2 linked regions of the Arabidopsis thaliana genome follow. The protein of the gene in region 2 interacts with the protein of the main gene of each other region in a pairwise test. Each region holds a gene or a part of one and is shown on either strand. Other genes may lie near its edges.

The links.
Region 1: the proteins of GH9C1 (region 2) and KAI2 interact in binary tests that used the Arabidopsis thaliana proteins (3 or more experiments, as listed by UniProt).

What each region holds. Positions count from the first base shown.
Region 1 is NC_003075.7:17,616,126-17,620,641, forward strand, and holds KAI2 (alpha/beta-Hydrolases superfamily protein), read right to left. Parts: upstream 2,532-4,516; 5' UTR 2,239-2,531; coding exon 1,871-2,238; intron 1,365-1,870; coding exon 920-1,364; 3' UTR 534-919; downstream 1-533. Other genes in the region: AT4G37480 (Chaperone DnaJ-domain superfamily protein), read left to right, coding at 3,136-3,459, 3,592-4,470.
Region 2 is NC_003070.9:18,101,125-18,106,591, reverse strand, and holds GH9C1 (glycosyl hydrolase 9C1), read left to right. Parts: upstream 1-1,823; 5' UTR 1,824-2,004; coding exon 2,005-2,217; intron 2,218-2,621; coding exon 2,622-3,035; intron 3,036-3,134; coding exon 3,135-3,221; intron 3,222-3,313; coding exon 3,314-3,478; intron 3,479-3,564; coding exon 3,565-3,852; intron 3,853-3,930; coding exon 3,931-4,258; intron 4,259-4,341; coding exon 4,342-4,392; intron 4,393-4,472; coding exon 4,473-4,810; 3' UTR 4,811-4,949; downstream 4,950-5,467. Other genes in the region: ENODL6 (early nodulin-like protein 6), read left to right, coding at 170-353, 435-784; NUC-L1 (nucleolin like 1), read right to left, coding at 5,170-5,198, 5,301-5,467.

The sequences.
Region 1 (4,516 bases), on a different chromosome or scaffold from region 2:
AAATGGAAGTTTAATCATAGTATTTGACTTTTTTTTTGGGTAGGCTAATCATAGTATTTGACTAGTGATGAAGAAATAATATTGTACCAAATGATATTTAAATTTCAATAATAAAATAATTTTAAGAAAATAAATAGAAGTTTTATATAAAGTGAATTATAAAATGGAAGTTTAATCATAGTATTGACTAGTAAGAAGCAATACAATATTTACCATTTTGTTTTGTATCACTAATTTTTTAAAGCTATTTACTTACCAATCTATAACTAATTTCATAAACAACAAATCGAATAAAATCTGAGCAGGCGCGTCAATAAAATTTGAAAGTTATTAGTGATAAATGATAATATAGAAAACAATATCTTTTGCACCGCATCCCTATAATAACATCAAACAAATCCATAATTTCATAAGCAAACAAACCTAACAAAATATGACTTAACTCCATCCTAATTCAAAACCCTAAATTTTCATTTTACTTTGTTTAAAACTTGGCTAATTTTTGTTCACAAACAAACAAATTTCAAAACCATCACAATATGTATGTTTTATGGTTTGGATTACCCATCCATAAATGCAAACTCAATGCTAATTCCTAGTATCACATGTTAATTACTCTTCACACAGTATAGCACAAGCACTCTTGCAAAGTTGCAATAATTCACTATGGACCATCAATTACGAACATCACTATTACATCAAGCAATAATGAGCTCTGAGCAAAGCTGTGGACAAAAGACAGAGACTTTTCGTTAAACAAGATAAGAACAACAAAGATCAAGATACTCAAGATAAACGAATCAGAACCAAACGACAACGAAATAATGTTCTCAATAGACTAGACAGACATATCACATCAGATATTTTTTTTCAACTTTTCTTACATCGTTTAATAATTAACTAATTAAATCTCTTACAATCACATAGCAATGTCATTACGAATGTGACGGAGGATGACAGGAATAACAGAATCTGGTGAGCTAAGCTGAGGAAGATGACCATCAGAAGGAATAACCTCGACGACGGATTCACAGCCAAGATTGGCGTGAAGATACTCGGAGACAACGACTGGTACAGCTAAGTCCTTAACACTTTGGAGAATGTGACACGGAACAGTGACAAAAGGTAAGATCTGTCTCATGTCACTTTGGAAAATGGTCTGGCCGACGGAGAGAGCTATGTCGGGACGCATATTGAAGAGTGTTCTGCTGAATTCTTGAACGGCGATGGAGTCCATGTCGCCACCGACGGCGAGTGGAGCGAAACCTAAGCACCACGCTTTGTAGTTGCTTCGGATGGCTTCGAATAGTTGGTTTAAGTCTTCTTGTTCGAATCCACCTTGGTAATCAACATCGTTTACGTATCTATAAACGTACCAAAACAATATAATTTGATTATATATGTTTCTTTTGTCAGAAGAAAATTAAAATATATAATATACTGTGTGAGCACCGTTTCAACAATTTTTTTTAAAAAAAGTGTAAGTAACACCTCAGTAAAACCAAATAAAAAAAAACAAATAAACAAATGGGTATTTCATGATTTTTTGTTCATAATTTACGGATTTTTATTGAAATATATAATGAAATGCTTCACTGATTTTGAGAAATAGGATAATTCAGACAAGAGGATAAACAAAGAGGCACTTTGTCGAAATTATGTCAGAATGAGAAATAAATATTTCGAAATAATAGATAATTGTGTAAATTTAAGGACTTAAGATGATTTTTTTTTATTTAAATTGTAATGTTTAATAGTTTTTATGAAATCAGACAAGAGAAGGAACAGAGAAGCCCTTTTGTCTAAACTATGTCAGGATGAGATAAAAAGCAAAACATATTTCTATGTACAACTTGTGAAAAAGTTATACCTCGGAGAAGCAGAGATCATGACGATTTTGGAGAAGAGATCAGGACGGTTAAGAGAAGCCAAGACACCAATCATGGCAGAAACAGAGTGGCCAACAAAGATACAAGACTCAATCTTGAGATCTTCCAAGATTGCAATCAAATCGAAAGAGTAGCCTTCGAGATTTGAGTAACGATCGAAGTCGAAATAGTCAGGGTTGGTCGTACCGGCTCCCATGTTGTCGTAGAGGACGACGCGGTAATCGTCGACCAGATGTGGAACCAAGTGTTTCCATACTGACTGGTCCGTGCCGAACCCGTGACCTAACACGATCGTGGCTTCTCCTGAACCAATCACCTTCACGTTGTGAGCTTCTTCTACCACACCCATCTCTCTAAAGAAGATTCTTCTCTGGTTTTCTTCTTGGTACCTCTCTTAGTCAGTTCGTGGAGAAATTATGATATTTGTGTTGTTTTAGAGTGTTACGTATTATTCTTTATAAAAAAATTCGTATCTGTGGAAGAGGAAATAAATTATTTAAAATATCGCGATTTACAGGTGGCAAAAAAAGGTGAATGGAACCATGTTTGTTGGATTGTCAAACATCGCTATTCGTGATAATTTGTTTTTTGGAATCAAGCCCAAAATATTTTGGAACATTTAATGGAGTACATGACGTGGAGTTACTGACTTCTGTTCAACAATAAAATTGTTACATTGGGTTACAAATACATGAACCAATTATTTTTAATTTTGTGCATGAATTTCAACAATGCATTAATGCGAAAGAAAATTAGTTTCAATCATTCAAAGAGTGGCAGCAAATAGTCAAAAGCTGATATAATTATTATTTTAACAACACTAGTTAAATTTCGCATGTATACAACTTGCAATGAATATAGCATCTAAAAACCTCATAATATTTGTTTTTTTCTGCTTGACTTTAACTTGTCAGTACTTTTCGATCATTTAGAAGTTAGAAGACATTAATTATTCATGGAATGCCATGGTGAGTATACGACCACGTATTCACATCCACTTCCTCATCATTTTAAGAGTCAAAAATATCTGTGAGAGGATCCTGGCCCATTAAAATTCAAGGCCCATTTAGTGTAATATGGCTTCATGTTCTCTCTTTCCTAAGACCGTTTTTACTGTTGACCAATAAAGTCTGAACTCGTGATGACGTGGCGTGAAATCGAGAGACCCACGTGTCATCGGCGTGCCGTTATCCTCTTTCCACTTCCGGTCTCCGTTCCCACCTGAGTAAACCATACTGGTCGTGAAATGACGATTCTCGCCGGGTTGATACGCCGGCGTTTTAGTAGATTAGTTCCGGTTCAACTGAATTACGGTTTCGAACCGTCGCGAATTCTCTTTAACCCGAGTCAAGGAAGAACTCGGTTGCTGAGCGGCGAGGCTGAGTCCAATCGGAACGAGTTTCCGGTGGAGAACGCTTACGATATCTTGAATGTCTCCGAAACCAGCTCAATCGCAGAGATCAAAGCATCATTTCGCAGACTCGCCAAGGAGACTCATCCTGATCTGATCGAATCCAAGAAAGATCCATCAAATTCGAGACGATTCGTTCAGATTCTCGCTGCTTATGAGGTACAATGAAGAAAGCTTCACTCTTCACTCTTATGATTAGTTTCAAAATCGAAAATTTCAAGCTTTTCAAGCTTTTGTGATAGAGTTATAGCTTTAGAAGTGTCTGATGAATGATTTGTGGTGATGATACAGATTCTATCAGATTCTGAAAAGAGAGCACACTATGATAGATATTTGCTATCTCGGAGAATGGTAATGAAGAAGCACTCGGGACAAGGTTATATGATTCACAGGTATAAAACAGGATTGACATTGAGTCAAGAGATGGAAGTAGTTGAATGGTTAAAGTGGTATAGAGAAGCAATACATGATATAGTATTGGAGAAGAGAGTAGCAAATGGTACTGGTTACTTAGATGAACTTGAAGAAGATTTTTATTCAGCTATACGAGCGGCCTACTTTGGGCCTGATGTTGAATCTGTTGAGCTTCTTCCTGATTGTTTTGAAGCTGAGGAAAGGTCTGTGTATGATACACGAGAGGTTTTGCATTTGGTATCAGGACGGGATCTTTTTGGTATGGTTTCCTTGGTTGATAACTTCCTTGAGCTTTCTTCTGCTTGCTCAAAGAAATTGGCTTTGTCGTCGTTTATGGATTCGGACCTTGGTCAAGCAGTTGAGAAAGGCAACAATGACATGATGTCTGCTGAAAGGATTGGTCTTCAGATATCTCATATACAATCTTCAAGAAGTAAAAACCATGTTTCTGATGCGTATAAAGATATTCAGCTGCATGTATCTGGAAGAGTTGTTGCTACAGCCATTAGGGTTCCCCCAAAAGGGTATCATGAAAAGAAACAAATTGAGGGTGATCACGATCTTATACACGTTTTCCTCAATTCAGATGAAGGATCTAATCATGGCACTGAATCGCCTCCGGGAAATGAAAGTGGTGCCAGACTTCTTGTTGGAACTATAAGTGGTCTTGGGACAATCCCAGATGAAGGTTCATGTTATGTCTATGATGGGAATGGTGCTAAGACTCATGTGATAATGAAACATAGGACATTTCTGGTTTGTGACTTATATGATCTAGCATTTCTTTTTATGTACCTTTCGC
Region 2 (5,467 bases):
CTATTAGATATCCCTCAAGTTGTGGACAAGCAAAGCCAAACTAGTAACAAACCTAGCTGCACTCTCACACTACTTAAATTCAAACCTTAAGCACCACAAAGCAGAAAAACTAAACATTTTCTTCGAGAACAATCCCTCGATATCAGAAATTAAACAAAAGAGGATTCAAATGGGTGGACAAAAGATTGTTCTGCTTTCGATCTTCGTATGTTTTTACGTGTTTTCACTTGTGTCATGTACTGAATTTGAAGCTGGAGGAGAAAATGGTTGGATCATTCCACAATCTAGTAACCAAAGTGACATCTTTAACCAATGGGCTTCCAAGAACCGGTTTAAAGTTGGCGACACTATCCGTAAGTTTTTCTTTTGCTTCTATTATGAATTTATGATCATCGTAATGCATATATTGAGTTTTGTTTTGATTTGGTGGAAAGGTTTCAAGTACAAGAAAGACTCTGTTTTGGTGGTAACAGAAGACGAATACAAGAAATGTCAGACGACCAAACCGGAACTTTACTCCAACCACGATGATACGGTTTTCAAATTGGACCGTCCCGGTTTGTTTTATTTCATTAGTGGTGTCTCAGGCCACTGTGAACAAGGTCAGAAAATGATTATTAAAGTCATGGAGGTGGAATCTACGCCGCAATCTCCTCCACCTTCCTCGTCTCTACCCGCTTCAGCTCACAAGAAAAACCACGCCGTGAGGAAAACGAGTCGGTTCTTAGGTGCCGGTTTAGTTACAATTTCGATTCTGGTTATTACGGTTTTTAGTCTTGTGTAGTATGGAAAACAATACCACTCGGTTATGGCGGTTCAGCCGTCGAGTTTTATTCCGGTTTAGGTTTTGTTGCTTAGTTTATTTAAGGTTTTTTTATTCATTTGATAGGTTGATTTGATTTTGGTTTTTGGTCACTTCAGAGCTTTAAAATAATTGAACTCATGTCTTATTTTATAAGTTTAGTATCCATTTTAATTCTATTAAATTCTAGGTTTATTGAAATACAATGTTTTTTACCTTTATCTAATTATAAACAAACAACTTTCAATTTTCTATAACAAAACAAAATCAAATATTTTGACAAATTTTCTAAATATACACTTTTTAGAAACATCTAATATTTTTTTTAGAAATTCAATAACCCTACTCAAAGAATCAAATCCAATAATGGAACACGAAATTATTTTGTTATATAAATTTTTATAACAAATTATGAAATTTATAACTCATTCAACCGAGATTGGGTCAACCCTATAACCTTATAAAATTTCCAATTAGCATTTTGCTCTAGCTATAAAAACATTGTCAAAACATGATCAAGTGATGCATCAAAATACATAGTTTGTAGTCCGGTCTAATCGCCCGAACCTAGTTTACCTATACATGGACTTTCTGTTAAAATAAACCGACAAAAGAAAACTATAAGTTATGGTCTTATGGACATATCAGAACACAAATCAATCGAGCGACAAATGAATTTTTTTTGCAAGAAGTGGATACCACGAATGGATTACTTGTCCGTTCACACCTTATCAAAAATCAACCAAATATTATTCTTTGTACCATTTTTAAAATTTTAAAACAAGATACATTCATCTGTTTCTATCAAATGCATTAGTCAATAACGCTTCCATCCAACGGCGAATAAGAGGTATACACGTGGTGAGGCATAGTTGATTCAGCTTTTATACACAAAAGTCTCGAGGAACAACGTGAGAAGCTCTAACAAAACGTGAAGGCCACAACTATTATCAAAGGCACATAAAACACACGAACACAAAAAAAGACAAAGACAATGATTATTCAGACAAGTTTCGTACCTATTTGATTCTCTACATTCCTCTCTCTCACACACCAAACTCACATACACAATCTCTCTCTCTTTCTCAACATGTCTATATAAATACACCCACGTCTATACTAACTCACATCATAGATTCACAATTTTGAACAAAGAAAATTTCTTTGGAGAGAAAACTTAGAACTTAGATTGACATAGAGAAATGAGGAAGTTTGGTGGATCATTGTTCGGCGTAAGCCTATTGCTGTCCGTTCTTCTAGCGGCAGCAACCGCGGCAGCGGAGTACTATAACTACGGAAGTGCTCTTGATAAGACCTTCTTGTTCTTTGAGGCTCAACGATCAGGGAAGTTGCCAGCTGCTCAACGTGTCAAATGGCGTGGCCCTTCTGGTCTCAAGGATGGTCTTGCTCAAGGAGTAAGTCCATATACACACAATGCTTGCAGTATAGTTGGTTAATACAATGGATCTCTTAATACATTCCAAAATTGATACTTCCTGATAAATACCATCGTATGAATTGCAAAACTAGTACCAAAATTACCACTTCTTCAACTAGAACATGTTGGCTAGTGTGGTTTGTATTGGTTCTGTTCTTGTATCACCATCTATAGGTTCAAACAGAAAACTTGTTGTTTGGAAAAAATAACACTTACTGGCATACAATATTTTTTTAAAACCTTAAATCTACAAGGTATTGTTGTCACTTGTCATCAGTACAAAGATTTAATTTGTATGAAACCTTGACGTACTAATTCCAATAAAGAAAATATATGAAGTAATAAAATGATATTGAGGTTTGTGTATGTATGAATGAATAGGTGAGCCTGGAGGGAGGATATTATGATGCTGGAGACCATGTGAAATTCGGTTTACCAATGGCTTTCGCAGTGACGATGCTATCGTGGGCAGCGGTTGATAACCGGAAAGAGCTATCCAGTTCGAACCAGATGCAACAGACATTATGGTCAATCAGATGGGGTACTGATTACTTCATCAAGGCTCATCCTCAACCAAATGTTCTATGGGGTCAAGTTGGAGATGGAGAATCAGACCATTACTGTTGGGAACGTCCCGAGGACATGACCACTTCAAGAACAGCTTATAAGCTTGACCCGTACCACCCTGGCTCGGACCTAGCCGGTGAAACCGCTGCTGCTTTAGCCGCTGCTTCCTTGGCTTTCAAGCCATTTAACTCCTCTTACTCTGCTCTTCTCTTATCTCATGCCAAAGAGGTTCGTTTGTTTTTTGTTCAACTCCTCTTACTTTGGTTTATGAATCCGGTTCGGTTTAGATTCTCAACATTTTTGAAACTTTGTTTTTGTATATTTTAGCTCTTCTCATTTGCTGACAAGTACAGAGGACTATACACAAATTCTATCCCAAATGCAAAAGCTTTCTACATGTCATCTGGTTACTCGGTATATATATTCTCTCAACACTTTCATTCTCTAATCCTTCCATTGAATCTTGTTCCACTACTAAAATGTCTCTCTTGTGTATTTCTTTGAAGGATGAGCTTCTTTGGGCTGCAGCTTGGCTACACCGCGCCACCGGGGATCAGTATTACTTGAAGTATGCTATGGACAATTCCGGTTACATGGGAGGAACTGGCTGGGGGGTGAAAGAGTTCTCTTGGGATAACAAATACGCCGGTGTTCAAATCCTTCTCTCCAAGGTAAACTATAGTTTTGTTAAAGAATGTTCTTCACGGTTTCAAAAATACTACTAATCATGGTACTTGTTTGATTTGTGTGTGTATAGATCTTGTTAGAAGGGAAAGGCGGTATATATACTTCGACATTGAAGCAATATCAAACCAAAGCTGACTACTTCGCTTGTGCTTGCCTCAAGAAGAATGGTGGCTACAACATTCAAACAACTCCTGGTGGTTTAATGTATGTTAGAGAGTGGAACAATCTGCAATATGCATCCGCGGCTGCGTATCTTCTCGCGGTTTATTCAGATTATCTCTCTGCAGCAAATGCTAAACTCAACTGCCCTGATGGTTTGGTGCAACCTCAGGGGCTTCTTGACTTTGCTAGATCTCAGGTAATGATCAAATCCTCCCAAGAAACCGAAAATTTTTCTCGTTCTTTTCAATCCGGTAACCGAGGTTTTCCTTTGCAGGCTGATTACATTCTTGGAAAGAACCGTCAAGGAATGAGTTATGTAGTTGGATATGGACCGAAATATCCAATCCGTGTTCATCATAGAGGCTCTTCAATCCCTTCAATATTTGCTCAACGTTCTTCTGTGAGTTGTGTACAAGGATTTGACTCTTGGTATAGAAGGTCTCAGGGTGATCCTAATGTTATTTATGGAGCTCTTGTTGGTGGACCTGACGAGAATGATAACTATTCCGATGACCGCTCAAATTACGAGCAATCAGAACCAACATTGTCAGGAACAGCTCCACTTGTTGGCCTATTCGCTAAACTCTATGGAGGAAGTTTAGGTAACTAAACAATAAACCTTGAGCTCAAAGTCTTTAGCTTTACCCTTATGGAATCATAAAGTAATGTAATGAACATTTTGTAGGATCTTATGGAGGAGGATCATATAAACCTTATGAAACTACAAAACCAGCAGGTTTGATCTTTTTTACTTGCAGCTTCCAATGCAACTTTTTCTACAGTGTCTGATTCTCATTTCCTCTAAAACTGTCACAGCTTCATCTTACAAAGCAACACCAACAACATACAGTCCAAAGCAATCAGGTGCACAAATCGAGTTTCTTCATTCCATAACTAGCAACTGGATAGCCGGGAACACAAGATACTATAGGCACAAAGTGATCATCAAAAACAATTCTCAAAAACCAATATCAGATCTCAAGCTTAAGATTGAAGATCTCTCAGGACCTATCTGGGGTTTAAACCCAACGGGACAGAAGTATACTTACCAGCTTCCTCAATGGCAAAAGACTTTGAGAGCAGGACAAGCTTATGATTTTGTCTATGTACAAGGTGGCCCTCAAGCTAAAGTCTCAGTTTTGAGTTACAACTAGTGAGAAAACAACACTTTCTTCAATCTTTTTGTTTATGCTTATTATGAGTGAAAGATGTGAACATAGCCAACCAAGTTGAGCCTAAATATGAGAAATGTAAATTTGTGACCCTTGGTAGAGAATGCTTTTTTGTCTACCTATTCATATGGCCCATACTTAGGTAAAATAAGTAATGATAGACGAAGATAACAATGATTGAACACCCAAAGCACTCAAAATTGAGCTTAACTTAACATTCAGACAAAAATTTAAGGTTCTGACAGAAACTTAACTAGAACAAAAAAGAAACGAAACAATAAAAGGATGCGAAGTATCATAAGTTAACAACATAAGAAGAGACTTTTCTTCTACAGACGCTTCTACTCGTCACCGAAGGTAGTCTTCTTACCTGCAACATATATTGCAAAGCCAACATAAACCCAAGAATTAGTGACATGTTAACTTGTTATAAAGAAGCTAGAAAACATGAATCAAGAACAATTTATCTAACCTTGGGGAGTAAAACTAGGTCTTCCACGACCACGATCACTTCCCCTGCCACCACCACTACCAAAACGACCACGACCTCCATCTCTTCCTCTGCCACCACCACTACCAAAACGACCACGACCTCCATCTCTTCCTCTGCCACCACCACTACCGAAACGACCATTGCCC